Linked DNA regions of Neodiprion lecontei. The protein of the gene in region 1 purifies or fractionates together with the protein of each later gene. This does not show direct contact. Links are inferred from orthologs where the notes say so. Each region holds a gene or a part of one and is shown on either strand. Other genes may lie near its edges. The genes, in order: nucleolar GTP-binding protein 1, mRNA turnover protein 4 homolog and ribosome biogenesis protein NSA2 homolog.

Region 1 (11,606 bases):
ATACGCAGGCACACAACACACACGTACAAACATCCGCACACATTCAACTCTCAGACCAGAGGTAGCGAACTATACAGTGAGAGTACGAAGCACCGCACAAAGAGGAGACCACGAGTATAGGATACGCTGTGTAATGTATTCCATCTCATTCTTTTGCACGTTCAATCCTACAGATATATATGTTTGTCTCTTTCTACTTAACGCCTCAAGCTTCCGAATGTTACACTTGATTTACTCAAATCGTTTCTTAAGGAGTAAACTCCAAAAATTTAAAAACTCACGCTTCCCCTACTCCAAGAAAACATACCCAACCACACAATTCCCGCTAAAAGCCAACCGCTCGCAATTAATAATCCTCATCAACATTACGATTTCAACTACTACATCAACATTTCAATTTTACAGATGAATCTGTTGACAAACCAGGAAAATTTGGTCATAATATTCACCGATAGATTTCAGCCAAATATGCGAACTTTAGAAATAAAGCGAGCTGGTAAGATTATTGTTGTAATATGCAATAGAGTCATGCCAGATTGGGTAAAGAGCGTGACCCGTCAGTTGTTATGGAACGACGATCTGCCACCAAGAATCTATAATTATGCGAAATATTTTCAATATTTTTTGATGATCAAAATTACAAGGTCAAGCAACACTTTATGATCGACAATCTGGCAATCGAAATTCCTAACAACGATAACGATGAACTAATAAACTAAAACCATGACGAGACCCACTATCGGGGACATTATCAACTAATTCCATTATCATAACTAATCATGCCACGCATAGATACATTTAGTTAAGTACATCGGATATATATATATATATATATAGCATACCTCTAACGATAAGATAGGAATAAAGAAACACCGAACCCTTATGCGGGAGTGACAGCTAATGTACGACGAGAAAGTACACCAAACAGATCCCTTAAAAGAAATGATGCCATACGAGAACAACGCTTTAACCTGTGTGCAAGGGAACTACCACAATGCGAAATAAACGACAACCGAACTGATTCAAAACTATGGTGATTGCAGCTCCAAAATGTACATCATAGACCTTCAAGGATTTCACGGGGAAAATCATGTCTTCATGATAAAGGAAATCGCAGTGATGAGTTGCTGCGAAGGACCAATACACCATTCGATAGTCCGTATGGAAACAGAAAAATCTACTCTTCCGCCAGAAATCCAAACGCTCAACCAGCAATTAACAGATCACCACCATGGGCTCGATTGGCACGATGGCACCGCCGTTGCCAGTGACGTAACTAAGGCATTAGAGGCAATGTACAAGAACACAAGAATCTACTTAAAGGGCTCAGATAAGGTCGAAACCTTAAGACCATACTTCAACGACATAGTAAACCTGGACGACCACGGTTGCCCGCCCTTAGCGGCGATTAAAGAAAGCGGAGTACCCTGCATCCAACATTCTTTTATGGATTTTAAATTCAACTGTCTACTCCGCAACGTCACAGCATTACTTCACTGGGTGAAACAATCCTTCCGCGAGCCAGTAAACTGCGACAAATGGACAAACGAACCTAATCGGCTCCCACAAATAGCAATGCCAAGCTGTCAACGACGACGGGAGACACCGAAACGAAGGGTGCCCGAGTTATATAAGAAAATAGCCCTGAATTTACTGGGACACATCGTTAACACGATCGAAAAAGTTTGCAACGATCCAGAATAAAACCAACACCCCGTCTAAACCCAAGGGACATGCAAGCAATAAAAAAATAATAATAAATACGCGTCACCAGTCCTCTAACAAACCAAATACCTAAACCGATAATCAGACTTGCAAACCCCATATAATTATGCCCACTCGATAGCCCAGACATAATGAATTCATTTGCACCATGAAAAGAATTTGTTGAACTCATAACTTTACCGAATTGATAATACTGACGCCTATACGTTGTAACATTACAGGGCTAAAGATGTACGTTATCGACATACAAGGACTTGGAGGGAAAAATAACACGTTCGTCATTAAAGAAATCACCGTGAGAAGGTGCTGCGGAACCGCAATACACCACCTTATCCTCATCACAAAGACACATGGGACTAACCTACCCGCGAAAATTCAAAGGACTAATCACTGGCTGAAAGAGTGTCTCCACGGCCTTTCCTGGGAAGCCGGATCAAACACCCGCGCTCAATTGGAGGAATTAATAAACTCACTGGACGCTGAGGAAACTGTATACGTTAAAGGCAAGGAGAAGCAAACCATACTGCGCGAACATTTTAACACGGTAATCAACCTAGAAGATTGCGGATGCCCAGGTATATCGGACATAAAAAACTACGGAACCCCGTGCGACGAACATTCAAAATTGAACCCGGACTTCAACTGCTCATACCAAAATACCGCAGCCATGATGTATTGGCTGAAAACAAAATTCTGTGGACCGGTGCCTTGTAACCGATGAAAACCCAACCCAGACACCGCTTTAAAATCACCTGTGGCTAAAGACCCGGCGAAACTAGATCGAGCACTCACCGCAAGGAAAGGGCTAGACGTCTTGGAACAAGTAGTCGAAGCAATCAAGAGAATTAATTGCAATATTAAGGAAGACGAAGCCTAAAATAAGAACCACCCATCGCACAAAACACTGACGAAATATAACATCATCAAAATGTCCTAACCTCCTCCACAACCACACATCCTCACCAGAGCAAAAGACAATTCTATCGAACACCAGAATGTTCATTAATTACAGTCGATTTTCTGTTACGACCACAGAGGATCGAGATGGATCTCCGGCTAGCAATCCTGCCCCAACTGATCTGGATGACTATGGCCCTAATCGCCTACGACTGCGGATCGAAAATGATGAACCTGACCACGGTATCTCTCCTTGAAGTAGGAACATGCGACCTGCCGAAACTACAACCTGTAACTAGCACCATCGAAATGCAGCTCCTAGAACTCACCGACTACTCAGAGGCACGAATCACGCAATGCAAGGTAGAGATACATCGATCGATCTTTCACTGCGGAATGCATTCGCATATTTCGGCAACTAGCAACGGACAACTCGAATATATACACTTTGTATCAAAAGAAGAATGCATACAAATGCACCTGTACAAATCGTGGAGATTCGGAGTTAATAGCATTATATCCTAATTAAAACCAAATGGAATAACGACAAAAACCATATCACTTGGCGGAGCAACGAATTTTGACGGGACTTGCGAAGGCATACAATACTCCGACGAATACGGAACATGGAGCGACGTAATAGTCCAAGGATACGTAAAGATCAGTCTAGCCGAATATACTGCAAAAATAAACCTAAATTCAAATAAAATCATATTTCGATCTGGAACAACGTGTGACTTCAGCAACGGTAATTGCGTTGCATTGCGTAGACAATAAAGGAGGAAACACGTTTTGGGAAACCTTGCCAAAGGATTCCTGTCAACTAGACCGATACGACGTCTTATACGAAGGCAGAGCCATAAAAATCAAGAACAGCGATGAAACCTATGACGAAGTATATACAACGCAATTATATATTTCACGGGGAAAATCAAAAAAATTTTATATGTGACGTCGGAGCGGTACCTGGTGGAAATTTCCAGATATTAGACACCGGAATCATTCACACAGCTACAGTCAGACTCACATCAGTAGTTTGGGTCACCAATTACCGATAAAGTATTGAAATACACCGGACAACGGGCATTCTGTCGCTCTAATCGAACTAACCGAGGAAGGAGTAATTATTGGATAAAAGATTTAATTAATTGGCTTACCTCTTGAGAATACTCTGGATATGATGACTTGTAGCGTAGATTGGTGAGAGCATTTAACGGAATAACTGATTCTAATATATTCGGATACTTTGATTAACTTGGATTTATTTTATAAGTTCAATATTTCAAGTCACAAAAACGGAGTTACTTAGTGTAAGATCTTAAATTAATATGACAAAATGGAGCTGAAAGCTCGCTGGACTTTTGGGCAGAGTAACGTTGTATGAAAAGTTTAAATGCAAAAGGCAAAAGGATTTTACCGCGAGACTGTACCCGAACAAGATGACGAATCTGGTCATAGAAACCAAGTGGACGATCGGATGATCGGTCGCCGTTTTTATAGGGGTCGATCGTTGCGCAGAACGATCCCCTTTTTTATATTTTGTCACCTTTTGCGCACCTCCCCCTTTTTTTAGGAATTCTAATTAGGGCACGCCATCTTCGCCGCATGCACGCCTGTGATCTTAGTTCATTAGCTACTACTATATTGCAAGTTTTTACATATGGTATAACGCTGCACCGGTGCGGTGGTGTAGGTGCGGGGTCGTTGTTCTATAATTTTCCATTCTGCGTGAGCTTTGTTGTTGGGGCGCAAGCCCCCCTTGGCCCCTCGGCTACTGTGCTTCTTCCCGCCGTCTCGTGCTTTCGGCAGCTATTTCCTAATATGGTAATCGCAGTGCGGATGCGCTAGTGGTGACTCATGTTTTATGTTAGTGCCGTGTGCATTTTCGGGCTCACGATACGCTTAATTCTAGTTCCTGTTTACTTCCTAATATTCTTACTATCCTGTTCGTTACAAAGTCTATATGTCATATTGGTTACTCGTCGTTTGTTAGTTTTATAGCGTGTATCTATATAAAATTACATATGTAATATAATCGATTACTGTCGTTATTCACCTGGATTATAATAGCGATTGTTTATGAGACATAGTTGCTGTTTGCTTAACATTATTAGAATCGCGCTGCTGCGAATATTCTTAGGTGTTTGTGTTATAATTATCTTAACAAATTTAGGGTATTTAACAATTTGATAATCCATAGTTTTAGAGCAGGTTTACATGTGTGCTTTCGTATATAATTCTCTTCTGTAATTATTAATTCTTATATTGATATAAATCGGCTTGGAAGCTTCTAGAACGTTTTTCTTATGTTTGTTGGTTGCCTGTCATTGGGCGTTGCCACGTATGCATCTTTGAGTTTATTGCGAGTTGATTTACCTTCAATCGTTTCGTCGGTAAGTTTCCTAATGTGTTCTCTAGATGAAGCTCTGTATGGCTCCACATTGGAGATCTGCATTGCCTTCAAAACGTTGCGCGTGTTGCCTACAATACGGCGTTACGGAGGAAGGTACAGTTCATGCTGGATAATTAGTATTCACGGTTTTGAAGGTTTTGCAGTCTCTGGTTTTATGGATTATTGCAGCAGTGCTATCTTTACATTATATTGGTTATACATTTATCTATGGTTTTACAATCTTCCGTACTCCAGGTTATATGGTATAGCGTAAGTCGCTTATAGTATAGCTCTCAGCTCCGAATGCACAAATGGCATTGTCGAGTGCTATATAATAATTGGATATAATCGTGTTAGTTAATTATGGTGTTAATATGATAGTGATATGTAATAACGTATAATAATATTATAGCTCTTTGTAGTGCGAAGATCTCGTTAGTGAATGTCATAGTTATTTCCATCTAGGGATATTCCAAATAGTTAGACAGTTGTTTTAATTCCTTATGGTTACAAGATTCTCATACTTCGAGTTTGGTTAGTTGATAAAAGTAACATGCAGTAATAATAGTCGATAAAACATACGGACGTTCCGGTTGGATGTTACACTATGCTGGTAACTTAGTTGATTTATTATCCCACGGAGGGCGCGACACCATCTTTCTTTTCGGGAACGTCGTGCAGCACGTGCGTGATGGAATCCCAGTAACATTAGCAATATTCTTCATATATTTGCTGTCACCCAAGTGACAAATCATCTGTAAAAATGGCTCTGTATAATTTCAAAAAGATCGCCGTTGTCCCGACAGCCAAGGTAAGCAGATCCTCGATTGAGCGTCGAATCTTAACCTAGTCAAAAAGACACGTTCAATTCTGATGTCAAGCCAGAAGTACTAATTTCATTCACTCTCTGACACTGCACAATAAATCCCAAATAACGATCCGCACTTCTGTAATCCGACTCGTCGACTCACTGATTCAGAAGTCTTGAAAATTGAAGTTACCAATATTTTTAGGTTATCGACATGTCCACACCGTTATTTTTTCGAGGATTAATAATGTCATCTTGTCTGATGTTTTACAGGACTTCATCGATATCATCTTATCCAAGACTCAGCGCAAGACACCAACCGTCATACACAAAAACTACAAAATATCAAGAATCCGTGCATTTTATACTCGCAAGGTGAAATTCACCCAGCAAAATTTCCACGATCGCATGAGCCAAATTATCCAAGAGTTTCCAAAACTCGACGATGTTCATCCGTTCTATGCCGATCTCATGAACGTTTTGTATGACAAAGATCATTACAAACTGGCTCTGGGACAGATTAACACTGCTCGCCACTTGATCGACAAGTAATTATGCTTCTTTTTCATAATTCGATTTAATACTTTTTCCACATTTGCTCGTTTCAAGCTCGCGAAAGTGAAGAACTTGTCTGTGTTGAAATTTAATACGTCTAATTTTTTTAGCGTTGCAAAAGACTATGTGCGTCTTCTAAAGTATGGAGACTCCCTGTATCGTTGTAAACAACTGAAGAAAGCTGCGCTGGGTCGGATGGCTACCATAATGAAAAGACAGGCTGCAAATTTAACTTACCTAGAACAGGTTCGGCAGCACTTAGCTCGATTGCCGAGCATTGATCCGTATACTCGCACGATCATCATTTGCGGTTTTCCCAATGTTGGCAAAAGTAGCTTCATAAACAAGGTGAATTACCTCGTAATCTGGTTTGCAAATGTGTCTAATTATCGCTAATTTTTCAGCAACAGCTTTTGAGACATTGATTGATTTTATTAACAGATCACTCGAGCGGACGTCGAGGTGCAGCCTTACGCGTTTACGACAAAATCACTGTACGTTGGACACACAGATTATAAGTATTTGCGCTGGCAAGTCGTAGATACACCCGGAATTTTAGATCACCCATTAGAGGAGAGAAATGTTATAGAAATGCAGGCTGTCACAGCGCTTGCACATTTACGTGCTGCAGTTTTGTATTTTGTTGATATATCTGAGCAGTGCGGCCATTCGTTAGAGGAACAGGTAATTTATTCAAAAGAAAATATCACCGACTGTGACTTTATGTGCATTTGTGATTAAAACTTAATTACCTATGCAGGTAAAGCTTTTCGAGTCCATCAAACCTTTGTTCACAAACAAGCCACTGATGATCGTTCTGAATAAAGTTGATGTTCTTCGACTGGAGGAGCTGCCGGAAGACAAACGTGAAACTCTAAAGCCTTTCGAGGACGATCCTGACCTTCCGGTAATTGAAATGAGCACAATTACTGACTATGGGGTCATGGAAGTCAAGACTCAAGCCTGCGATCGGCTGTTGGCTCACAGAGTCGAGCTCAAAATGAGAACGAAGAAGGTAAAGTTGTGGAACAATAACCATGAAACAGAATTTCTCGCGAATTTTGCTCATTATATTTATTCAACAGATGGAATCTGTCCTGAATCGATTACATGTAGCTCAGCCCACTGCCAGAGACCAAAAAGCGAGGCCACCCTGCATTCCGGAAAATATTCTCAAAAAGAAAGAATTGGCAGCTGCAAAGACCGAAAGAAAGAGGAAACTGGAGCGTGAGATCGAGGAGGAAATGGGCGACGATTACGTATTGGACTTGAAGAAAAATTACGACATTGAAGGGGACCAAAAGTACGACATTATTCCGGAGTTCTGGGAAGGCCACAACGTAGCGGACTACATAGACCCCGACATTTTCGAGGTAACCGTCGATTGAATCGATTTTAGGAAGCGAAAAATAATGCTGTAAATCATATTCCCATTATTGTTATCCCTATTTTGTTATGCACAGAAATTGAACGCTCTGGAGCAAGAAGAAAACCTGCGGGAGGAGGCAGGCATTTACGATGCTAAGATTCCGGAATTGAGTGAAACTATGCGAGAGATTCGCGACTTGGCAAAACAAATTCGGGACCGCAAAGCCATCATGAAAGACGAAGCACGAATCGCAAAGGCCTCTACTAAGCCTGTTATGCCTCGCACAGCTGGCTCAAAAGTGCGAGATCGTTCCGTCACCAAGCTCCGTGATCAAATGGAAGACTTGGGTGTTGATATGGAGGGCACAGAAAATGTAAGTTGGCATATTCCTCCAACAGGCGTATGAATATGAAATATAAGAAAGAAGTGTTTTAGGTAAAAATGCAATGAACATTTTATCGTTCTTCAATCATTCTCCATTATATTCGACAGGCGAACTTCACCAGGACCAGAAAGAGATCTAGATCGCAATCGCAGCCTGCCACTAAAAGGATGCGACTTCAATCCGAGTCCCAGTCTAGAGCGCGTAGCAGTTCTAGACCAGCTCGTAATGATATGGGAATTAAGGATAATGTTGTAAGTGCTGAAGTTTCATTTTTTAAGTTCAGCTTTTTTTTTTCTGTAGTTTAATTACACACTCTATGTTTCTCTATCACAGATGAAGATGAAGTTAAAAAACATAGCACACAAAGCAGTGGCAAAGAAAGTGGGCAAAAAGGGATTGAAAGGAGAAGCCGATCGATTCATCGGGACAAAGATGCCGAAACATTTGTTCGCTGGGAAACGAGGAGTCGGAAAAACGGACAGGAGATAAATATATATTATATATATATATTTTTATATCAGAACTGCTCCACCGTAAATACATATGTATACGCGTTATACTTATGTAACTAGCAAACTTTATTTCTACCTAGAATCAGCGGAAACTAAATATCCAGGCATATACTTGTGAAATTCGATTCTTCATTAGCATTATCAGTGGAAAATTGCGAATAAATAGCATTACATAATCTATAACGATAATAAATTAAGGATAACGATCAACGAAAATTTCATCTAATTTCGCATTTGAGCCGACAATTTAACGAGTGTTTCTGACATTGAGTAGGAATGTTGTATAAAAAGATGAAAGATCAACCAAATGAAAGAAAATTAAAACAGTTTACATACTGTAAAATAGAAATTATTCAATAACTTCGGTGCTACAATTATAACGATAAATTATTTCACCGCGCTTTGCAGTAAATGTTTGGTGTTACATAACGTAAGGCGATTCATTCGGTTCGAATAAGGGATAGGCAGTTTATGGATGACGAAATCCGAATCTCAGTGTTGTGACACGAGGTAGCGCCGTTGCGGGCGGAAGTGTGACTGAAGTCGGCTAGGCCTGCTTATAAATAAGGCAACAAATGCAGCAAGGTTTTGCGCTCAAGATATAGAAGTGAATTTACAACAATTAAAATGAAATATACAATTTTATTGACTAAAGCGAAGTCGGGGTGAATATATTTGTCGAAAACATCGCGGCGCTACCTCGTAGTATTTTCAAGTGACGCCGTCGCCATGTTTGTTTTTAGTATTTGAGGAATGAAAAGTGAACGCTAGAATCGGTTTGAATAAATACTCTTGAAATTTGGTGAAACAGCGGGTTTGTCAGAAGTGACAATAGTGTCGATGATTTCCGGAATATGGTAAGCACCCAGCGTCCCGCTGTTATTGTTTATTTATGAACGTTTTTATGTTGTTTTTTTTTCGTACAACAATTTGATTCTCTCGCGGCTAGTGGAATGAACGCATAGTAGCTGCCTAGGCACAAACACGCCTCGTATATACGTTCCAAACTCCTTTCTACACCGACGAAAACGATTTTCGGAACGAGCTGCGGAACGCGATATTCAAACCTTCGATCGGAAATGAGGTTTGCTTACGCCAGACTCGTTATTCGGCCAATATCATTGCCGAAAATATCCGTCGTTTCACTCCAAGCTCTGCGGAGGCAGCCGCACGCCGCTGTAATCGAATTATCGGGACATTCGATTCGCCGCCAATATTATACCCCGTAAAAATCATCAAGTAACCGCAACGGCAATGTCGACTTTTGCCCAATTCCCCAATTCTCAAATTTTCCGCATTGCAAACTCGGTTTAATCGATATTTCATCATCGCGTTTAATGCAATAGTTGATACGTTCAATGCGCGTTCGAAAAATTCGAATAAACATCTAAATTATACTTCATTCATCGACACAACGAACTTTCCCTACGCAACTTGCCGCTCTTTTTGTTCGGTGTCGTACACGTTAATTGTCCCTCAGTTCGTACCGGTTCTTCGAAATTTTCCATGCTTCAGATAATCCAACGCGCGTTATTTTTACACGCAATTATTTTATACCGTATACCTAGCAAGCAAACCGCGCTGAACCAGCAGCCTCAACGCTTTTTCCTGACTCTTCTACACTTCTAGGCACACATGCCAGAAGCGCAGGTGTCTATAAATAGATCTTCGTACTCTGAAAACGTCAATTAATTTGGCGCTAAATCCTGGAGTCTTCCAAACTGCAATTCATCGTATCTTTAAACATGTATTTTGATAAATAAAAAAAAATAATGAAAACCAATTTTATTTTGACAAACCCAAAAATTTTTACATATGCTGTTGAAAAGAGTTCACAAACGTTTATAAAACAATTTGTTTCACGTTATAAACATTGTACCTATCTTATAAACAAAAGTTATTCTCATGTCTTTGGATTTGAAGAATAACATTTTCAAGCATTCTATAAACTATTCACACTTTTACTTCTACCTTATTATGTCATCAACTGATTATTCATATCTTGTCGCTCTTTTCTGCTTTTTTACTCTTGAGCATGTAATGACTGGACACGTAATTACAAAATTCATTGTCATCCAAACAATAGATGTGTGAATTTGTGCTACAGAAAGTAAAATACAAGAGACGTGTACTGAATTTTAGTCCAATATAATATTGAAAAAGATCATCGTAGCTCTGAGTGTAATTCAAATGTAATTCATGCGTGATTTCTGTATTAACGACGTTTGTCACATGATGCTATTAGGTCGAACCAAGCACATTTATTAGCCTTGTCATTTCCGTTCTCGACCAGTAAAGTATCCACTGATTACCAGACCGGATCCTTCCCAAACTGCCATGTTTTGTCCTTCCAACAGCTAGCAAAATTCCCAATGAATGCGGGGATGTAAATTTCCAAAAAAAAAATCCTAATTTTAAGTCATCAAAACACGCTTATTTACAGGCCATGCCTTTGCATAACCTAATTAATTTTTTCAACAGACACCGTCATGAATTAACAAAATACTTTTTCAATTCAAAGCACCTTACAAATAGCATATTGAATAGTTGAAGTCTATAACGCTGATGTAACTTTAGATTTGATTAAATGGCCTTAAACTATGATAAAGTAAAAGATGTATTTACATTACATTTTGGGAATTCAACTCCTTGGAGGCATTTTAAAATAAGAAACAATGATTTTTTTGTTTCTGTGTCGCGTCATCTCAACATTGCTAATTCTAATCTCATAATACATGCGGAATCTATCTGTTCATCTCTTCTGTCTATCAAGTGACGAATGGCACAGAGTTAAATGGGGGAAAAGCAGGGACCACCAACAATGTTGAGAGCAATCAATATCTCGAGAGCGTGGGTGAGTGGTGGGGGTAGGAGTTGTCGGCTTTTGGGGTCTGAGGGTGGCTGTTGCTAAGGGGAAATAGTGTCAGTAATGAGCGACCTACCCTCCCTCCATTGCTTTTTCC
Region 2 (9,949 bases), on another chromosome or scaffold:
ATATTATATCATATCACATTGCAGGTGTGAGCGATTTTTTGCATTGCAATTGTGTAATTAACGATGGATCAAATTCTTGTCATCGATTTTGTTCTTTGACGGGTTCGAAGTTTCTTTTTCGTTATTCGCCAGATGCGAATTATTATCGTTGGGTATGTGTATGCGTGTATGTGCATTAAGCAACGTATATTATAATGTATTTGTAGTGAGTCTACATATACTGAGAACACACGTACATCTGAGGATCGAACGATATTACGATGTAGAGTATTTTCATCTCCGCGAAACTATACGCATACATATATTGTAATATAGGAATACGTAAAAACGTTTGAAAAAAAAAAAATAACTGGCAGTTTTATACACACCGTATTTAATTGGTAAGTTATTTTTTCATTCCTCTTCTTCAGATTACAGCGCATTTTGTGTTCAAGATTCAACAACGGTATGAAAACTATTGTGTTATAGGTATATATAAAAATATATATATATATATATATATATATATATATATATATATATATATATATATATATATATATATATATATATATATATATATTCATATACACATGCATATAAGTGGAACGATTCTGACGCACAATTATTTTTTCTGACATAGTTAATACATAAACTATATATATTCTTTTAGAATGAATAGTTTGTACTGACGTTTTCTCTCCTTTTGTGAAATGTGTGCCCAACGCGATGATGTTTGGTTTGATATAATGAGCGTACTAAAGAAAAAAAAAATGTACATGCAGTATATTTTATACTCAATGAAACGGACGCAGCATGCGGTTCAACGCACGCTGTCCATCGCACTATGCGTGTTATGCGCGTATGTAACTCGTTGCTGATACTACAGCACCGAACCCAAATTCTTAATTTGGGAATACGAGAAATGACACGATGTTCAAATCCAATTCGATTCAGTATTGGCTAAATACACACTGCACTATACGTATCCGAACCTTTATTTTTTGGGAGGGGAGTAAATAAAGGGAAGTAAGAAATAGAAAAACACATCTGATCTCTAATGTGAACTTTTACGAGAGGGAAAATTCTTTCACATCCAATGACGTATGTTAATATAAAAAACGGAAAATTTATAGGATTGCTCCGTTTTCCTACCGCTGACGGAGTCGAGAACGCATAAATCTGACGTAGTTCATCAGCTAATGATATTATATGTATAAGTATATTTAATCAAATTTGACGCGGTTAAGATATGAATTGAATTTTTCTTGCGAAGTTTTAGATATAACGTATTATCGATACTCTATTTTCAGGTTTGACCGCGATCATCTGCATGTGCGATAAATTCCGAATAAAGAAAAAGAGATTTTCGCCACCGCCGTAAGATATCTGTCACTGTCACGCGATATGAACCGGAAGTATCAACCCGTAACAAGATTTTGCTGACCGTTACAGCACAGATTTTGCGTTTGATATAATATACATACCTATATAGAATCGTATAAGTAGCAGGAACGATGGTTACGGTAAATAAATACATCGTAGCGATTTCAGACATTAGCTAGTTGTGGAAAATTTTTTGAAATTATAGCATCTTTACGCAAGTACGGAAAAAGTTATTTCAACTTCGAGCGTTAAAGAATTATTTGCATCTACCGGGGATATAACGACGAAGAGGAATAGTAACTCAAATATGACGAATACAACGTGCCCAGTGTACGCACAGAGAAACAAACAACGAGAGGAAAGAAAGGAAGTGTGTAAAGAGAAACTTTAGTCATTACCCATGGCAATTGCCTTATATTATGCACGTATGTGAGTGCGCGTGTGTGTAACAACCTGGTTGAGAAACTCGTCGAGATATTCGCGCCGAGCCTAATATGAATGCATCTATATTATAAAACCGGATGTGACATATTGATATGTTCGAAACAGCTTTCGCGTAGTCGTAAATGAGACACATACGCTACGCGGAGTTCGCGCATTGCATGCGAATCATTGCACCCCGCAGGTATTACAAATCGTCGGCGGGTTGCACAAACCCACATTTACTATTTTCTACACTAGCAGGCATTACGCTTGATATAAATTAACGTGTCGCATCATCCTCTCTGGCACGTGACGTCACGGCTGATAGTAGTAATTTCCATACGGATTATCTCGGCAGCGACGGATCTAAGTGAGCATGCAACAACGCCGAACTCGGCCGAATGCGTTCAGAAATGATAAAGCAAAAAAACAAGAAAGAGATACATTTGGAAAATAAATGTGCATGAAAATCACGAAAATCATAAAAATCTTGAGACGCCATCTGCTTATAGGCAAAGGCTTTCGACCTGCCTAGATATGCTAGATAAATCGCGGCGTAGGTACACGGCAGACGTGGGTCACACTACGTACGACACATAATGCATGCACCCACGTGAACGACGTGTGGCCTTGCTTTAATAGATTTATCCACCGTCATGTAATTGAGAATAGATTCTCTGACCAAATAAATTCGAACCAACCAGAATCAGGTGCGTGCGCTTGGAGAGGATAGAGAGAATAAAAAAAATAAAATAAAAATTAAACTTCTATGAAGCTAACAAAGAATTTCTTTGACCGTTGTTTGTTACATTGTGCTGTACGTACGTTGACCTGTGCCAAAGATTGATCTGCCAGGAATCCGATAGATCTTTGGTGCGACATGTAAGTGAACATTGATTTAATGCCGCATATTTGTGAATTTACAACGAGAATTTAAGTCACATGTAGCGATGCGGATAATATCTATTCCAATCCATCGATTTCAATAACAGCGGGGCTAATTAGTTCCCATTTGTTATTGATCAGTCTCGTACAGGTAAACTCACGGTAAGATTTACCGACACAGTAGACATAATTGACGAGAACTAATTTAGTCGCAGTTTTCATTCTATATCCTTTCGTGTGATCGTTAAAACTTTTTCCTGTTACATGATCGTAAAAGTTGAACTAAAAATGAAGTTCAGTTTGGGAAGAAAGGGAAACAAGGCCTGTTGGAGGTTTGAAGACCGGATTGAGATATTAAAGTACGTAATAAGGCGATCCACCTGGATGAGAGAAAGGGCGTGCCTAGTCGTAGGCGTTTGTCACGGTCAAGTATGCGACGTACTTCTACCAAGCTACAACTACGTGTGGCTGCGGATAATTGCACAGTAGGTATGACGAAACGACAACGATGGTACACCGTTTATTACGAAGATTTAAAAATCCGAGGACACGAATCGAGGATTGGAGAAAAAAGTGCGAGCGGTTGGCGAGAAAGAGGGAAATAGAAGAAGGACATCTCCGATTTCTCATGACCATATAAGGAGCTAAATTCTTAAAAAATGATCGCTCATAGTACGAGTAAAATATGACAGTTTGACATGCGGGTATTGAACGGCGGTAGCACGTGGTTAATGATAGTCTGACAGTCGATAAACGGTGAAATGCCCGAGCACTGTCAGACAGGGATACGTTAAATGCATGTGAAAAAGTTGGACATTTTTTTCGCCGGCAACCTGGCAAAATGGCAAAATGGCGCCCCTGGCGCCTGAGACACTCCTATTAAATGCGTCACTCGAGCCGTACCCTCCGCGGCTACATTCACGCCTATCGCCTTTACTCTTTAGGTACGATCTCGAACCGGAAGATTTAACCCGTCTACTTGACACGGAAAATCAAAAATGCCGTCATTACTGACTGGCTCGATTATCCTAGTGATAGGCGCACGACGTCAGTATCTGTATGGCTGCTCGTTTATTCGATGTGGAAGCCGCTTTCCAAAATTTCCATCATCTCTAGTTGCTACGGGGTTCACACAGCCCGCAAACGACGTTGCGCACATTTAGCATAAAATTAACACTTCTATCGTATGCACGGAATCTCCGGTTAGCGAGGATTCGGTTTCGATACATTTTTGGTTAAAACTCACCTTTTGAATGCAGAAAGTCGCCTGGAAAATCAAGGCTTCAGCGAATTTCAACGACTCCCGTCTAACACGATCTCACAGAGTGCACTGCCGCTCACCGCCGGAAACCGCCATTTTAGACTACGTTCGATTAGACACTTCCCCTACCATCGATCATAACCTATCTTCATTCGATACGCGCACCGTTTTCAACCCTTGTGCGATAAACATCTTGTGTAATTTTCGAAAATTTTATTGACATACACAATACCTCACCGATGCACTTGCAAATTGAATAAAAATGAATTAATTGTGAAGTTGAATTCAACGTAACCAAAATGGCGTCCACGTTTCCTCCTGACTGTTTACTGCGTGACATTCGAACCGGTGCTACTAGCACATGGTTTGTTTTTTAAATAGTACCTCAAAGTAATCAGACCGTCTGAAAAAACAGAAAGTGAAAGATGCCGAAGTCCAAAAGAGACAAGAAAAGTACGTAAATCACCTCAAACACTATCGCACAAGTGAAATCTGAACCGTTGTCCAGATATTATTTGCACATAACCTATAATTTGATATATACATGCTTGATAGTCGTAACTGATTTTGCATTTGGAATTATAAAAAATTCTCTAATACTAACAAGTTCTTGTAATTATTGAAAAATGATAAATTTTCGTTTTAATTTTCAGTCACACTTACAAAGACCAGCAAGAAGGGACTGGTTCTGAAACAACAGATCGTCGAAGACATCCGTAAATGTGTAACAAAGTATAACAGCATTTTTTTGTTCTCCGTTCAAAACATGAGAAATAACAAACTTAAGGACATCCGGGCTGAATGGAAGGATAGCAGGTTCTTTTTTGGTAAAAACAAAATCATGGCGCTTGGCTTGGGCAAATCTCCCGAGGAAGAAGTCGAAGATGAAATACACAAATTATCTGCCGCTCTCAAAGGCCAATGTGGGCTCCTTTTCACCAACAGACCTAAGGATGAGGTACTTGATTAATGAAAATGGCAATATACAAATATATAAATGAATTAAGCAAATATATCATATAATTATTTCAGTATTTTTAAAGGTTTTTTTATTTGGGACAGGTCTTGGACTGGATGGAACAATATGGTGAAGAGGATTATGCACGCTCAGGTTTTGTTGCAAATGAGACAATAACAATACCTGAGGGACCGATGCCAGAGTTTGCACACAGTATAGAACCACATTTGAGGCAGTTGGGACTTCCCACATCGCTTCAAAAGGGAGTTGTAACATTGCTCAAGGATCACGAAGTTTGCAAAAAGGGCCAGACACTCACTCCAGAACAAGCCAGAATACTGGTACAACATTTGTATTTGTTTAGCAGATGTTTTCAAGTATATAGATAATTCCATTATAAAAAGCTCAAAGGCTTCGGTTATGTACTCTTTTTTTTTTCAATTTGCTCTTCTGGAATTTTAATGCTAGTTCCCTCAATTTTCCATGAATGAAATCCAATACAAAATTTGAGAAAAACTGAAATCCACCCATGCATGTCACAAAAGATTTCTCGTGGAATTACGTGTATACTTTACAAAGTACCAATTTACTGAATTCAGTATGGAGCATTATTTTTGTACCTTCTTACAGAAACTCATTGGCAAGGTATTAGCAACATTCAAGTTAACGCCTCTTGGGGTATTTGTCAAGAGTGAAGGATACATGCCAATTGCTACAGATGATAACGATGATAATGAAGATGACAATGTAGAGATGGAAACAGAAGACACAACAGATACCTGAAATCAGAATTAAAAATGACCTAAAAATGTACATATTGAATAAAAAATTGTTTTTCCATTTTTGCGGTTTATCATTTCTTGAGTTTGTGAATAAAACCTACAATTCTTTTCTCTTATCTCACATTCCAGAATATCAGTGACAGCAATGCGCCGAGGAAACATGCATGTTCCAAAACAATCTAGTCCTTGAAATCCTGCTAAAAAAAAGCATGCAGTTATTAGAAACAAACGATTTTGAAATCTCTCGTCAGCAGTGCAAATATCAAGATAAATTTAATGAAAAATATTATTACCAAATAATACACAATATTTACACATTGTACATACTCATTCAATGAATAATGAGTTGCATATTAGGATTCACTATATTTTGGATCGTCGGTATGACATGGGTGAGTGAAATAATTAAACGAAATTGTACCTTTTATGTGTATAAAACTTTGAAAAAACTTTTTATTACAATTTCTGATACCAATGTGAGAAATCATCGGATCTAATCTTGTTAATCAACAGATAATATATCATTGGCTGAATGGAACTGTTCCAAAATCTAGTTGTGAAAATTCTAAAAGAGTGGCATTCAAAATCACAGCAAATAATCATAAAAAACGAAGTACTACTTCTGTAGAATCATGGGACATTTCTGATAATGAGGACAACGGAAATGCAATCACCAGTCACAATGAGCTAACGACGTATCGGGCTAATTTTATTTAGCAAGTAATCTACAGTTTTTGTAGTGTAGCTGAAAAATGACTAAATCTCAATGGTACTGTTTGTATAGTATCTGAAATGAATTCTGGTATGGTTGAATTGAATATCAGAGTGCTATTTCAAACTTTTCGACGCAATTCGTCTGCAAACGAGTACAAATAAATTTATCAACTACTTTTACAAATTGATAATACTAAAACGGTTAATTATTTTTTTCCCTTTATTATTTGAAACTTGTGTAGATTACAAGATATGATTATTACATTGAATAAACTGTTGCATAGAGAGCTTGATAATATTTAGTTCAAACTTTCATATTTAATTATTTAATCTATTTACTGATAAGGTTTTCTTGATAGTAATAGGTTTTGAGCTCAAACTGCATTCCACTTTGAAAAGGCATAATTATTCTTATCCTCGGAAGATACCTATTGTTTGTTCCCATGCGGAGTGAATAATGTTTATGTAAAATAGTGAGTGAATTGTAGAAGAAATCTTGTCAATTCTTTTTGAATGACGTTAATCAAAATAAATATAAATACGTAATATATCTTATTACGAGCAACTTGCTTTTTCAATTTGGAATGACAATCGTAATAAGTTATATTCCGCTCTCAATGTGTTAGAATTTAAATAAGTTCGACATTCTAATAGCAATATCAGCTCTCTGACAAGAGGTTTTCATTAAGATACATTAATTCATGATAATTATCACTAAAACGTATCATTTATAGGCAACAATTATGTGACGACACTGAATGTAAAGCGAAGTGAGCGAATGAAATATAGCTGTGTACACGTGTTGTTCATGTTCCTCAAATCACAGGAATTCAGATCGTCATATCGACTGGAAATTACCTAAACAAAAGGATCGGTAATAACAAGAAAAACTCGAAATATCGAATTATTTATCAGGTAATATCAAAGAAATAGTCGAACACATATTCTAAAATGAAAACTAAATTTTCTTACTAGATACGATAGTATAATACTTAACTAACAAAATCAATAATACCTGGTTACGAAATAAGTTTATATATTTTACATAATGTGACTTACAGACCTGACTAATTTATAACCTGAATAATTTATAATATATACATGTCTTACTAAACGATAATCAATTATTTCAACCAACATATAGTAATTTTACAAATTCTAACTAGATGTGAATGTCTCAAATCTTTTTTATTCCAGTGCCATACGCTTCCAATTTTCACATCAAATTCTTTTTACAAATAAATACAGAGACAAAAATAAAATTAAGAAATTATCGAAGGGTTTTATAAATATAAAAGTATGATTATCTATGTATAATATAAGTGGAAAATGATCTTTGGTAAAGTAATTACGCATTGCATTGTCAATCAGCGTTGTGTAATTACTTGATGACAAAAATAATACGGAGAGTAATACACACAACAATAAGAAAATATTAAAGATTGAGTTATTTTAATCAATGTCAACTATTATCATACTTTATCACATGAAAAATAAAATGTCACCTCTTCAATTTTTCTCTTAATTTTCTCACCTTTTCAAAACTAACAGTACAACATGTAAATTTATAAAGAATTTACCCTGAAATCTTAAGAAGTAATTCATAATATATCAAATAAATTAAACAATAAATCTACAAAAGTAATTTAGATCCGTTTCACTTCGTGCAACAATTTGAGCAGATACTAAATTTAGTTAAATATAACTTTATCTATCCCCTTGCTCGTAATATCACAATCCAAAAGTCAGTCCTTTTATGTTCCAACTCACCATGATCAATTTGTAACACCAACTGAATAGAAATCTCATTTAAAGAAAATAAATAATAATTGTCTGAGTAACATGGACAAGACAAGAGGTAAATGTTATACACCTGAATTATTGGTTTACAATCAAAACACTTTCAGTGAAAAGCTGGCAGTATGTCGTAAGCAACAGATACTAATCTTTTACAGATTCAATTTCTCATCTTTCTTAAAGCAAAAGCAAAACACGTTGACGACGTTTAACCGACTCTCAGATTTCAAGTAGTATTGATTTTATTCAAGTAACTGCCGGCTGTTCCTGCTACTTAAGCTGCTAGGTGCAGTATGAAACCGGCGTGACGTATGCGATGCAAGGAACTAGTACCGAGATTGACAAATAAATAAACAACTGAAGTCCACAAGTTACGTGTTTCACTATGTATCACCTATATTGGAATGTTTTTGGAATAAACAACGTAGACTATGTGTTTTCATAGCGTAAAGTAAAGTAAAAGTGGTCGTTCATTTGCTAGTCATTTAAAAAGAAAAAAGAACCGAAATAAATATTAGAAAGCTATGAAAAATACGGGGAGTCAATTCTTTCATTGCAACAAAATGTTTCTTCTTCTTATAGTCAATGACAATTTTGAATGAATAATAAGACAAAATATTTCGTAGCAACACGTCAGCCGGATCATCAGCTGCATCAATACACAGAGTATAAAACTTAGCTAGACAGAACAACTGTTTTAATAAATAATGAGCGATTTATTATTGCTCAGGTGTCGAGTGAAGACGTTTATTGCGTGGTTTGTGTCTCAGTGCTTAGTACTTCTAGATCCGGCAACTCAGGAATTGGCTCTCGCCAGTAAGCAAAATTGCTAAATTCGTCAGTTGCATCTTCAGGCAGGGGGGGAAATAGATGATCTACAATATAGCTCATGTTCGAGTATCTGAAATATAAAACAGAGATAGTAAATTTTTACAAGTTTGGCTTACCACGTGAACATTTAATTAACACATGTAATGTATGCAAGCAGTAATGATTTAGCAGCAGATAAATTATGTGTAACACACAGCACTTCCTTCCAGGCTCAATGGCATTTAATTTATAATGCCAGTATTTTCCACCGGTTCAGTAATGTTCGTCTGAACTGTGTTAAGAACGACTGTTGTTTTACTGCTTAAGCAACAATGACCGTAGTGAATTTGTGAAAATGAAGGTTCAATGGTAAGTATGTAGACTGTCTCGTTCCTAAATTTGAGCAGATTACCAAGTTGTAATAGAGGTATGAAAAGAATGCGAATAGACGTGGCTTGTGAGAATGTACATGAGAGAATATCAGCAACGATCGTTTGTGATATCAATTGGTAAGTTTTCAATTCTATTATGGTATTAGAAAGTCAATGAAAATATTTTGAACTCATAAAAACATTTTTCAATTAAAATAATTGTAAGAATTAGACGAGTAGCCGAGTTACAAATTATCTAGTGTATACTGAGTGCACAATAGTAGAAAACTCAATAAAATATGACAAATTTCATCAATTGCATGCCATCGATAAAAGGTTGGATTAGAAATTGTTTGTATGAGATACGTGAATAAAAATTATCATTAAGGTATTAGATGGATTTGGACACCGTACCCTGTGAAACTAAGCTGATGCACGAATGCGTATAAACAGCAATAACTACAGTTTTGTGATTTGTGTAAACTAACGTACTGGAAGTTCACTGGAAGTACTTAATTGCATATGGTAATGAAATCGGAAGATTTAAGCAATACGAGAAAAACATTGGCAAACCAAACTCTAA
Region 3 (10,764 bases), on another chromosome or scaffold:
TCCCTGGGGCATAAATTTAAAATAAATATCGTCTGCACTTAACAGCTCCGCATTTACACCTAGCTCTGGATTCGGCAGAATCATTATTCAGAATAACATTATCACGTGGTAATTCGAGTCGTTGACGAGGAGATAAAGCGGGAGAAATGTCTGCTTGAAGTTTTTCCTTCTTGGGCGTGACGACCGACGTATTCCTGAGCGATTGGCACATGTAGTCAAAGGTAATTTCTTCATATCTCAATATATTCCTTGTCGCGAATAAGCCAAGTTTCGGCAAATTTGGATCCAAACAATCTATCCACACACCGTAAACAGCCAAATTTGGATCGCAAGAGTGATTTATAAAGTGAGATATATTTCCATAGGTCGCTGCGTCAACCGTGTACGGACACTGTTCCATCTCGTTATAGTCTAGGTCGAACAAGTAAGTTCTGCCAGCCGCGTCGTACTGTTTTCCCCTTCTCTCAGCCTCGTCGTTTGTTATCACCTCTCCGACGTACTCCGTAACGAAAGTACCCTTCTTTATGTATTGAAGAGATTTCACTCCCCATCCGCATCCCGTCTCCGTTCTAAATATGCAAAGTTTTACAGATGTCCCGTGCTGAACAACACGATTCAAGCAGCTTTGATCGCAAGCGCATCTCTTATTGCATTCGTATATCGGAGTACCTAGAGGGACTCGGATCCTTTTTGCTGTCGTGTAGGCAAAAGATCCACCCGACTGCTTACCGCAACAGATCGACTTTGGCTCGCAGACCAAACACTCGCAACCGATTGGCGGATCTTCCGGTATCGTTACCCCCTTGCCAGGAAGATAAGCGTCGACGTATAAAAAATCCTGCGGCGGACCTTCAAAGTCCACATCATTTTCTACCTTAATTACTGGTCTGTCCTTTGTTATTGTTCTTATCTCGTTTTCCCATTCTTTCAAAAGCTTTAGCTGGGCAGATCTATGATCGTGAAATTCGTACACTAAAATATCAAACTTCACTTTAGTCAACAGTTTGGCGTTCATTCTGTTGGGCCATTTTAACAGCTTGTTTATGTTTTCATTCAGCTCCTGTTTATTTGGCAATTTATAATCCATTATCTTTCCTGTCTGCTTGAAATTCTTCATAAGACTCTCCATCTCCATCATCGAAGGATAGTAATTGATCTGGTTTTTAAACGTGTCAACCAGTCCGGCATTTGAATTCTCAAAAGCTGCCAACAGTTCGGCACAGTTTGTCAAATTCGAAAGTGGTTCCCAAGTGTTAAAGCTGTCGTCCCAGCCTTTCCACTTCACAGCGTATACTTCAACTCCTTTTGAATATCTTTTATCTAATATTCTCTCCACCTCGTGTAAATCCTCGCGATTGTTCGAAGATTTTATACTCGATTTAAGTTCGTTTATCTTTGTACCAATATCTTCAAGTTTTATCACTGCTTCTTTCAAACTGTACTTCGTTCTTTTATCTACTTCGACTGCCACCAAATTCTCAGCCTGGATTCGCCCCTCAATTCCCGTTGCCGCTTCTTCCTCGGGTATACTGGGCGAATTCTCACCGTTTGTTGTCACAGTGTGAATAATGTCGTCATCATCCTCGTTGTCGTTGTCATCATCGGTGTCGTTATCGTTATCACCCTCGCTAAGCCGTGGTATCTTGACAGGACGCTCTGCGTCAGAGCTCCGAAATATAGCACGTTTTTTTGTAAATTGGGACGTACTCGAGTTGGAGATCGGAGGCGGGCTTTTATCCGCAGGATCTGCCTCTTCGACACTGTTTTTTCCATTTTCTTTGTTGATCGCCTCCGCATGGTGTGGCTCTGTAATGCCAAAGATTTAAACGGCGTGATTCATCCGTTCTATTTCATGGAGGAGACAAAGATTATTTACTTTTATTAAATCGATATTTCTTTCACCATTTCATTGTTTTGGTGAATGATCCGTTTCTATTTTCGACCCCTGTGCTTTACTTTAGGATTCAGCACGAGTGTTTCTTTTATTTATTCATTTATTTTTTTTTTTATTTTCATGACACGCCAAATTTTGCACCTTCTCTTATTATAGGTACCGTTTTCCGTTCTTACATGCTATTTTTTCCTCTTCGATCTTCTTTATTACTTCACTTTCATACGTGGGGTTGCTTCCACCTTTTTTTTTTTTTTTTTGCGCTTTTCAATATCTTTTACTTTTATCCTCATTAACATTTGTATCGCCTTTGTTCTTCTGAACGAATTTTATTTAAGAGAAATGAGAAGCTTTGCGACAAAATTTGAATGTCTAAAATGAAACACCGTCAAATATCTCTCGGATACGGGCAGAAAATTAAAAAAATTGAGGACTGTGGTAAAGTTTGCTCAAGATTTTCGAGCTACACATTAATCCCCTATTTCCCTGAAAGTAACCTATTTTTCACAAGACCATAATTTTTACGGTTTCATGGAGTGTCGTTATCTACGGAATACTTACGCTACCCCCGAATTATTTCGATCCTACATTTAGTTGAAAATAGAAACATTATTCTCAACCATCGAATTTATGTTTTCAATTCATTTTAGTTTGTACAAAAAAAAAATCAATATGTAGCGAAGATTTAAATGTATTGTACATTCAAAATTTCAGTCATCCTCCGGTACGTCTGAATATTGTGCGAAAATTTTTATATTTACAGGGGATTTTATTTTTCTACAATTCAAACACATTTTTGGGGTACAATTAAAAAAATTTCAAAATTACCAAAATGACGTACACCCTAGTGTGTATCTAATTTTGCTCTGTTTGGTAAATACTATGAAAAAATATTGAAACCCTAATAGCCCGTTATTTTCACAAAGTGTTTCTCTATTTTTCCTAAAATTACGTGGCTTAAAAGCATTGCGAACCCTGGATTTTGTGTGAAATTTCGTTGATTAAATATCCTGACCTTCCCGACTGTTGGATACTATTTTTAATAATGTGCTATGTATTTAATGCATGCAATGAGATCATTTGATGCTATGAGTTGTTTCTGCAAAGTATCAACAAGTAAAGTTTTGGGTTGAAAAATGAGTATCCATTCTTTGTATACAATCTCCAGTTGATTGAAACAAGATATGTTCACATGAAGACATTCGTAGGAAAGCCTAGGTTTTGGACAGTTCTTAGAAGTCAATAAAACTTAGAAGCATTCCATGTCCTACAAGGTTAGATAATTGAAAGTAATCATTCAGGAATAATACGATAATGACTTAGTTAGTACTTATTACTAGTTATAAAAAAATACCATCATCAACTAAATTTTTATATTAGACATTTGAAATAATTTCTCAAGTGAAGCATACCGAGTTTGATGGTAATATTTCTTTCCAGCTCATTTTTAAACCGTACAGTTTGCACGCCTGAAATGGCTTTGACGATTGTTGACTTTCCATGGGCTACATGTCCGATCGTTCCTGTGGAAAAATAATGAAAATTGTAATTTAATCAGCTCTGAATGCTAATGGTATTGAAAACATAATAAGGTAATTTTAATAATTAGCATTCATGTATAATTTGTCGTTTCTAATATTTTAATAACATCGTTTAGATACTTCTCACAAAAAATTGTTCTTACCAATGTTTATCGTCGCCTGTCGGCTGATGACTTCCCGGGACAGTGCAGTCAACTTACCAACATCCTGAAATAAAAAAAGGTTTATATGATTTCACGGTTAATTTCAGTACCAAATTTGTCTTATTATCAATAACTTTCTTAAAATTCTTCGCATAAAGCTTTCAAATGAATACTATAAAAAAATCAGAAGATATCACTCATGTTTTTACTCATTCATCATTTATATTGATTTCTAAACCAGCAATATCTGAAAGCAAGTCTCTAAACTGGTATTTAACAAAAATGCGCTTGGAATTCTTTCACTAAGAAACAAGGTGCATTGGTTCTTTGCTAATCAAAATTGGTTACAATATTTACTTTGGGTTAAATACACTTATTCCTGTAGAGCGGTGTGAATATTTTTCGTTTGCACTATGAATCCATGAGTTCTAAACCTACAACATATTGTATGAAAAAACTATTCCCAAGTCCATCTGACATTTGAGATAATGAGGTGATTGATTCCTAACCTAGCGTCGTTTTGTTTCTATCCCATATTCAGGTGAAGGAATCCGTTAATTCAATGCATTTGAATAATGCGTTCCAAAATTGGACGGATATTTTTTTTTTCATTTGTCATGTGAAATCGCACGTTCACGTAAAATCGCTCCATAACGCGCCACGATTCGCTAGGGGAATGTGGGGAGCTCGATTACAGTTAGTTGATTGATTGTAAATATGATAATGCATGGATAGCGAATTTCAAAGCAAAGTTTAGGCCCTACGAAGTTCTTAACCAGCCCTAAGCCACGCCATTATACGGAACCGTGTGTAAGGACAGCGCGTGAATAGATGTTTGAGGTTACGTTAAAGTGCTGTTAAGCGAGTTCTCCGAAAATTAATCAGTGCAAAGCATCGGCCGATGTTTCGAAGCAATAATTGAACATCGTCAAACTGGAATGTGATATCCAGGGGATAAAATATGTTTGAGAATTAAAGCAGCAGTGGCAGTAGCCTGTACAAAATATGTCGGCTAAGATAATCTAATCGAGGCGGATAGCTAACGCCGGAACTTACGAGCTTCGATAAATCTTGCTTGTATAAATTAGGCTGCCCTGTTGTAACCCCGATGCCTTCGTCACCTCCCATATTTGCGATTAACTTTAATTAATAAAAAATCTCTAAACTATTTAGAGTCTAGGCTCGCGGCTGGCGGCGCTAAAACTTGGAATTGGTGACAACGGGCGACAGGGCAGAAGCAGAGATGCGCATGCAAAGAACGCCGGAACTCTTTAGAATCTTGTCGCCATCTGGTGACAGTTTTTCGGACACAAACTTTTGACGATTCGTCATGCTAGGTGTCCACAGCGCTTCACTGGTGGCTGCGAGCCAAAACTTTGAACAGGACTGAAACTCTCATTGAAATTCGATTGAAACGTTAAATAAATAGTTGACGTACTATAATTATGCACGTATATATAAAAAACGAATGAAGCATTTAGTTTTCCCGACTGTACAACTGATTCTAAAAACATATTATATGCAAATTTCTGACGGAACAAGGTAGATGGAAATCGTCGTTATGTCAACTGTTTGGTCTATGTATCGATTTAAACAATCATTTCAAGCACATTATAGTAGATTTAATGCGTAAGATAAATCGATGGTGACATTGAAATTTGACCTGTGCATTCATGATTGTGTGTGCATACATACATAAAATCACTGAATAGATTGCAGCGTGTCTAATACCAATGTATTAACGCATTACCGACGGAACGCACAGCATCTGCGTGGTTCATGGCATAAGGTGAACGTCGCAAGAAGGGGAGAAAGATTTCTTATCCACTCGACTTTCCCTCTAAGCCGCTTCGATACTCGGCGGTCTTTTCTGTTCCTGGCGTGGTCGGCTGTAGGTGAGTTAGAATATGTTTCTCTAATTTTCATTCAAATACTTAACATTTTGCGGTATTTAACGCCCTGAACGACATTTCTATCTATCGAAACTGCTTAACTGCTGTTGTAAATGCGCGAAAACGATCCTGCTGTGATCCAATACTACTTTTACCTAATCCTGACATTTGCCACGTTTTTCTGCCCACTTGGTCGGTCCAGCGCGTGCTCTTCTCCATTACAAAATGCATTGGCGATACCGCTGATGACTATTGAAATCTAACGATCTTCAACGGTAGTCGCTGATTTGTAATAGAAACATAGCGAAATGTATGTAATTTTAGCTAAAGGTCATATGTTTTTTCGCAGCATTCATTTTCTACAAAATAACCTCCGTCACCAATCGCCCACATGCTATTCTCACGGGGCAGTGTTTGGCGAACCTTTGGACTCTAATCCAAAGTATTTCATGAAATAGTTTACATCAAACTTACTGTTTTTTTTTCTATTATGTTTTGATATGTTTGCTTTTTGCTGTCATACAACAGTTTTACTTCATTGATTCGGGTACATCTTTAGCTTATGCGTAACATTTGTACCGGTACAAGTTTCGCGCTCTACAATATTACCACAATCGCTAGTCTGCAAATCTCAATATTTGTACGATCACGCAATTATATTATAAGACTCGTACGTTTTAATTCAAGATTTGGGCAGTCTGGTTGTAGCTGCTGAAGTTGTGAAAGCAAATATTCCATTTACTCAATGAATTTGAATAATTTTATATCAAAACTAGATATTTTCAATTAGCGTTATTAAATTGAGTTTGTTAAGAAGTTATCACAAGTTGCGTCAATTTCAAGAACCAGAAATCATGGCTTTGTATTCCTTGGCTTGAAGTGGGGAGATCGAAGAAAAAATAATTGTTGGACAGGTAATGTCTGTGTATCTGTGAAATCGACGATTGAAAAAAAGTCTAAGGTAAGTTCTTTGCTGTAAAGAATAGATCAAATTTATTTGTAAATTTTCAAACCAAGTATATATAAAATATGTAATTATCAATTAGCCAACTGTCCAAATCTGAACATCGACATGTGCTAATTAAAAGACATAGAAATTTTCTGTTTCAGCAAGCAGATGTAAGAAAACAAAATGCCACAAAATGAGTATATGGACCGTTTCCGAACCTTGTATGGAAGGCGGCTTGACTATGAAGAACGCAAGCGTAAGCGAGAGGCTAGGGAACCTCACAAACGTGCAGAAAAAGCACGCAGCCTGCGAGGATTGAAGGCAAAGATCTTTAACAAAGAACGCCGCAATGAGAAGATCCAGATGAAAAAGAAGATCAAGGCTCACGAGGAGAAAAATGTCCGAAAGAAAACTGAACCCACCCCAGAGGGAGCGCTTCCAGTTTACCTGCTGGACAGGGACGTTTCTTCGCGCGCGAAAGTCTTATCCAACCTCATAAAACAAAAACGTAAAGAAAAGGCTGGTAAATGGGATGTCCCGATACCAAAAGTAAGGGCACAGTCAGACTCAGAGGTGTTCAAGGTGATGCGAACTGGAAAATCCAAGCGGAAAGCATGGAAGCGAATGGTGACAAAAGTAACATTTGTTGGTGAAAGTTTTACCAGGAAACCACCAAAGTTTGAGAGGTTCATCAGACCTATGGCTCTCAGATTCAAGAAGGCACACGTTACTCATCCAGAACTAAAAGCCACATTCTGTCTCCCAATTATTGGTGTTAAAAAAAATCCGAGCTCAGCCATGTACACAACTCTTGGCGTTATAACTAAGGGTACTGTTATTGAAGTGAATATTTCCGAATTGGGGCTTGTTACACAGTCCGGTAAAGTTGTATGGGGTAAATATGCCCAAGTTACCAATAATCCCGAAAACGACGGCTGCATTAATGCAGTTTTGTTAGTTTAATCACTGTTCATAGCAAACCAAACTAAAGACTTGACACATATTCTTCGATTTTATTATTTAATTCAAACATTGGACTATTCTACTTGTATTCAATCACTGTATACCATTAAGTTTAATTGAGAAATGAAAAGTGAAATAAAGTAATTTTTGAAATATGGCAAATTTTTTTTCTTCCCCAATTTTTCTAATTTCTAATTGTATCATTTTTGTATGGTTATTTTTCCCAGCCAACACATTTTCAGGGTGAGATTTCAATGTAGACACATGTATATTTTTTCCGTTTTTCTTTTACAGCTGGTCTAGACCATAACCATCATGCAGATATTCGTCAAAACTTTAACTGGGAAGACAATCACATTGGAGGTGGAAGCCTCCGACACGATTGAAAATGTGAAAGCAAAAATACAAGATAAAGAAGGTAATTTAGTTGGGACTAAGCGAAAATACCAAGAAGATGAAATTTTTATCAAATTGTACCATTTAACTATTAAACACACTAGGGTAGGATTAAGCGCAACAAATGTACTCGAAAAGAGGGAATCTTGAAAGTTCTGGCCACAAATCAAATAGTCAGTAAAAAAGAGAAGAAAAATGTAACGATTTGCTTTGATTTCTTCAGGGATTCCCCCTGATCAGCAGCGTTTGATTTTTGCTGGCAAGCAACTTGAGGATGGAAGAACTCTTTCCGATTACAATATCCAGAAAGAATCTACGCTTCACTTGGTACTCCGCCTTCGTGGTGGAGCCAAGAAACGCAAGAAGAAGAATTACTCCACCCCCAAGAAGATCAAGCACAAGAAGAAGAAGGTTAAGCTTGCTGTCCTCAAGTTTTACAAGGTACATTAATTATTACTATGTGTTCACAGTTGCATATTTCCTTTATTCCATTCTGAATGTGAAAAAGAAACAAAACAGTGTATAGTTGAATAAAATCTTCAAATTCCTCTGTTTCTAGGTCGACGAGAATGGCAAGATTCATCGTCTACGACGAGAATGTCCTTCCGAACAATGCGGTGCCGGAGTTTTCATGGCAGCCATGGAAGACCGTCATTACTGCGGAAAATGTGGCTATACTCTCGTCTTCAACAAGCCTGAAGATAAATAATATGTGTATCCCGTATACATAACGACAAAATAAAAAAAAAATTTAAACATAAAATATTAGTTGTTTTCGGATAATCAGTTCAATCAATAGTAATTATCATATCCCTCGACCTTCAGCTAATTCTTTCTTTTTTTGCTATCATATTTACTAATGACAATTGCAAATATGACACTAGACAAGTCAGTTCAAAATATAAATAAAAGTAATCCCGAATGGATCACCCAGGGATCACTGAATTGCGTGAAAAATGAAGTTTTCTCACTATTGAACAATTGTTCGTTTCTACCCTGTTTTTTTATGGTTAGGAAGTGGTTGGGAACAATATTTGATATTTTTACCCACCGGGTCTTTTTACTTTTTCACTAATTTATTACAGTTCGCGTCTAACGTTACCGTTATTAACACCGCTGAACTGAAACAACATGAGCGCTACCGCGGTGAAAAATCGCAATGACCCACCTGATACTGGCTAACTACCACAGTTAGATACCAACCGGTGCCCGGGAAGCTAGCATCTCCTTTGATTTGCATACTTCATGATCGTGAAGTATCTCATTATTATTAGTGCGGGCATGTAAAGTGGCAGATATAGAGTTTTACAAATTTTTTTCGTCATTTGCAAATTTGGTCTCGGGGAAAGCGCGTCTCTGGTAGATCAATCGAGAGTGAGCGAAAAACTTTACTGAAAGTAACGTTGAAAAACAAACGATCGTAGAAGTGTATACACAAATAATTAGGATTTGGTGTTTATACACATCGCGCAAGTGCTGTGTGTGGGGTCGTATAGAAATTCTACAATAATGAAAACAGGTGTAATATAATCATTGACAAATTCAATAAGACGCAAAGTGTACGTTACCCTAGTGTACCTTATTGTCTGAGACATTAGTCAGTGCGTACGTACGGAGAAATAAAAAACAAAACATGTGAAACGTCAAGGTAGGTGTTTTGTTTCGTGTCCAGTGGTAATTAATCGAAACAGAAGATTGTGTAGAATCGGCACTGTAACGATAAGTAGTTATAGTAGACAGTTCGAAATAAACGAACGTCAGAGGAGTTATATCAGATGAAATTTAGATTATGACCCTAAATGCGGTGTATTATTATCGACAATGAGAACAATTGTTGACAGCAGGGATTATCCGGTTTACCGCTGATACGTTTGCCGATAATGTGGCAGATGGCAGTTCACATTACAGATTTCGGTCCTGCTGCATCAGAACTTCTAATATTATACGAGAACGATTCAGCCACCCCGGGAGGAGACCCCACCTCCATTATGTAAGTGTTGCTTAAGTAATTCCTGTATCCGCATGTTCTGTACCCTCCGAGTATCGAAAAGGCGGGGAAACCCGAGTTGCGGTAATGACAACAGAACGTCGTCGTTATTGCTTGGCGACAACGAAAAAAAATTGTTCTACTTGTATTAAAAGACGCGTAGCATTGATCCGTCTATTTACGACAATTACCCTATATCCACCTCCCATCCATCATTGCCTTATCTCTCAATTATTACCTCGTATTGTCGTTCATAGTAGCCTATCTAATGTCATTCGCGATTTCAACGACATTGAGATATATTGATACGCGGCTTGACTCCTCGAAAACAATGGAATAAAAAAGTAAACAAAGCAACTGTATAAAGAGAAAACACCAACGGAACAATTATTACTATTTGCAATTGCTCATCTTTCTTTTATTGTTCATTTTAACAATAAGTACAGTACATAACAACAATACTGGCTTCAGTGTTAACGAAGCAAACGATTGAAATTCTGAAGTGGACAAGGCAAAATATTGACTCATTATTTTTCTACTCATCATTAGGGATATCAGAAAAAAAAAATAATGCATGAAATTTACTTTCAGGAACAAGTCGGTGGAGAACGTTTCCACTTCCAGCCACGACTCGATAACTAGCAACAATCTGTCGCTGACAAATGCCAATCTAACCATCGGCGTCAGTGGAAATGATGGATCGGCTTCTAACTTGATTGACACAAATTTGGGGGGAGGCTCAGGTTGCAATAGCCCTTCACCTAGCCCTACTCCATCACCTTGGCCAAGTCCCAGGCCCTATACCAAGAGGGATCACTCTAGACCTCATTCGGATGTTGCTAATTTCGTCAATAAAGATATATCCCCTAGCAAACTAGAGGATCAACAAAACCAGGTATTATCTTAGGACCGAAAGAATTTTTTCTATGTATTGAGATGAACAGAGGAATGAGTTGCAAAATACAATTTTTTAATGAAAAGAAAAAAGGTAAATTAATTTTG

Evidence for each region.
Region 2: the proteins of nucleolar GTP-binding protein 1 (region 1) and mRNA turnover protein 4 homolog purify together in Homo sapiens (affinity purification with mass spectrometry; 3 studies listed by BioGRID and IntAct, counting the BioPlex papers as one, with this or other methods). This does not show direct contact. The link is inferred for Neodiprion lecontei from reciprocal best matches to the Homo sapiens genes GTPBP4 and MRTO4.
Region 3: the proteins of nucleolar GTP-binding protein 1 (region 1) and ribosome biogenesis protein NSA2 homolog purify together in Homo sapiens (affinity purification with mass spectrometry; 3 studies listed by BioGRID and IntAct, counting the BioPlex papers as one, with this or other methods). This does not show direct contact. The link is inferred for Neodiprion lecontei from reciprocal best matches to the Homo sapiens genes GTPBP4 and NSA2.

The regions. Positions count from the first base shown.
Region 1 is NC_060263.1:16,125,444-16,137,049, reverse strand, and holds nucleolar GTP-binding protein 1, read left to right. Parts: upstream 1-5,664; 5' UTR 5,665-5,777; coding exon 5,778-5,825; intron 5,826-6,095; coding exon 6,096-6,370; intron 6,371-6,487; coding exon 6,488-6,725; intron 6,726-6,818; coding exon 6,819-7,061; intron 7,062-7,137; coding exon 7,138-7,392; intron 7,393-7,462; coding exon 7,463-7,750; intron 7,751-7,840; coding exon 7,841-8,119; intron 8,120-8,238; coding exon 8,239-8,382; intron 8,383-8,464; coding exon 8,465-8,620; 3' UTR 8,621-8,694; downstream 8,695-11,606. UniProt on the Homo sapiens protein: Involved in the biogenesis of the 60S ribosomal subunit. Acts as a TP53 repressor, preventing TP53 stabilization and cell cycle arrest.
Region 2 is NC_060261.1:34,233,946-34,243,894, forward strand, and holds mRNA turnover protein 4 homolog, read left to right. Parts: upstream 1-4,180; 5' UTR 4,181-4,359; coding exon 4,360-4,387; intron 4,388-4,587; coding exon 4,588-4,892; intron 4,893-4,996; coding exon 4,997-5,233; intron 5,234-5,522; coding exon 5,523-5,675; 3' UTR 5,676-5,734; downstream 5,735-9,949. Other genes in the region: phosphatidate phosphatase LPIN2, read right to left, coding at 8,933-9,086. UniProt on the Homo sapiens protein: Component of the ribosome assembly machinery. Nuclear paralog of the ribosomal protein P0, it binds pre-60S subunits at an early stage of assembly in the nucleolus, and is replaced by P0 in cytoplasmic pre-60S subunits and mature 80S ribosomes.
Region 3 is NC_060264.1:30,367,346-30,378,109, reverse strand, and holds ribosome biogenesis protein NSA2 homolog, read left to right. Parts: upstream 1-5,410; 5' UTR 5,411-5,470; intron 5,471-6,577; 5' UTR 6,578-6,599; coding exon 6,600-7,379; 3' UTR 7,380-7,534; downstream 7,535-10,764. Other genes in the region: histone-lysine N-methyltransferase SUV39H2, read right to left, coding at 17-1,806, 3,304-3,414, 3,576-3,639, 4,632-4,703; ubiquitin-40S ribosomal protein S27a, read left to right, coding at 7,695-7,797, 7,999-8,216, 8,335-8,484; protein Aster-B, read left to right, coding at 9,656-9,765, 10,354-10,657. UniProt on the Homo sapiens protein: Involved in the biogenesis of the 60S ribosomal subunit. May play a part in the quality control of pre-60S particles.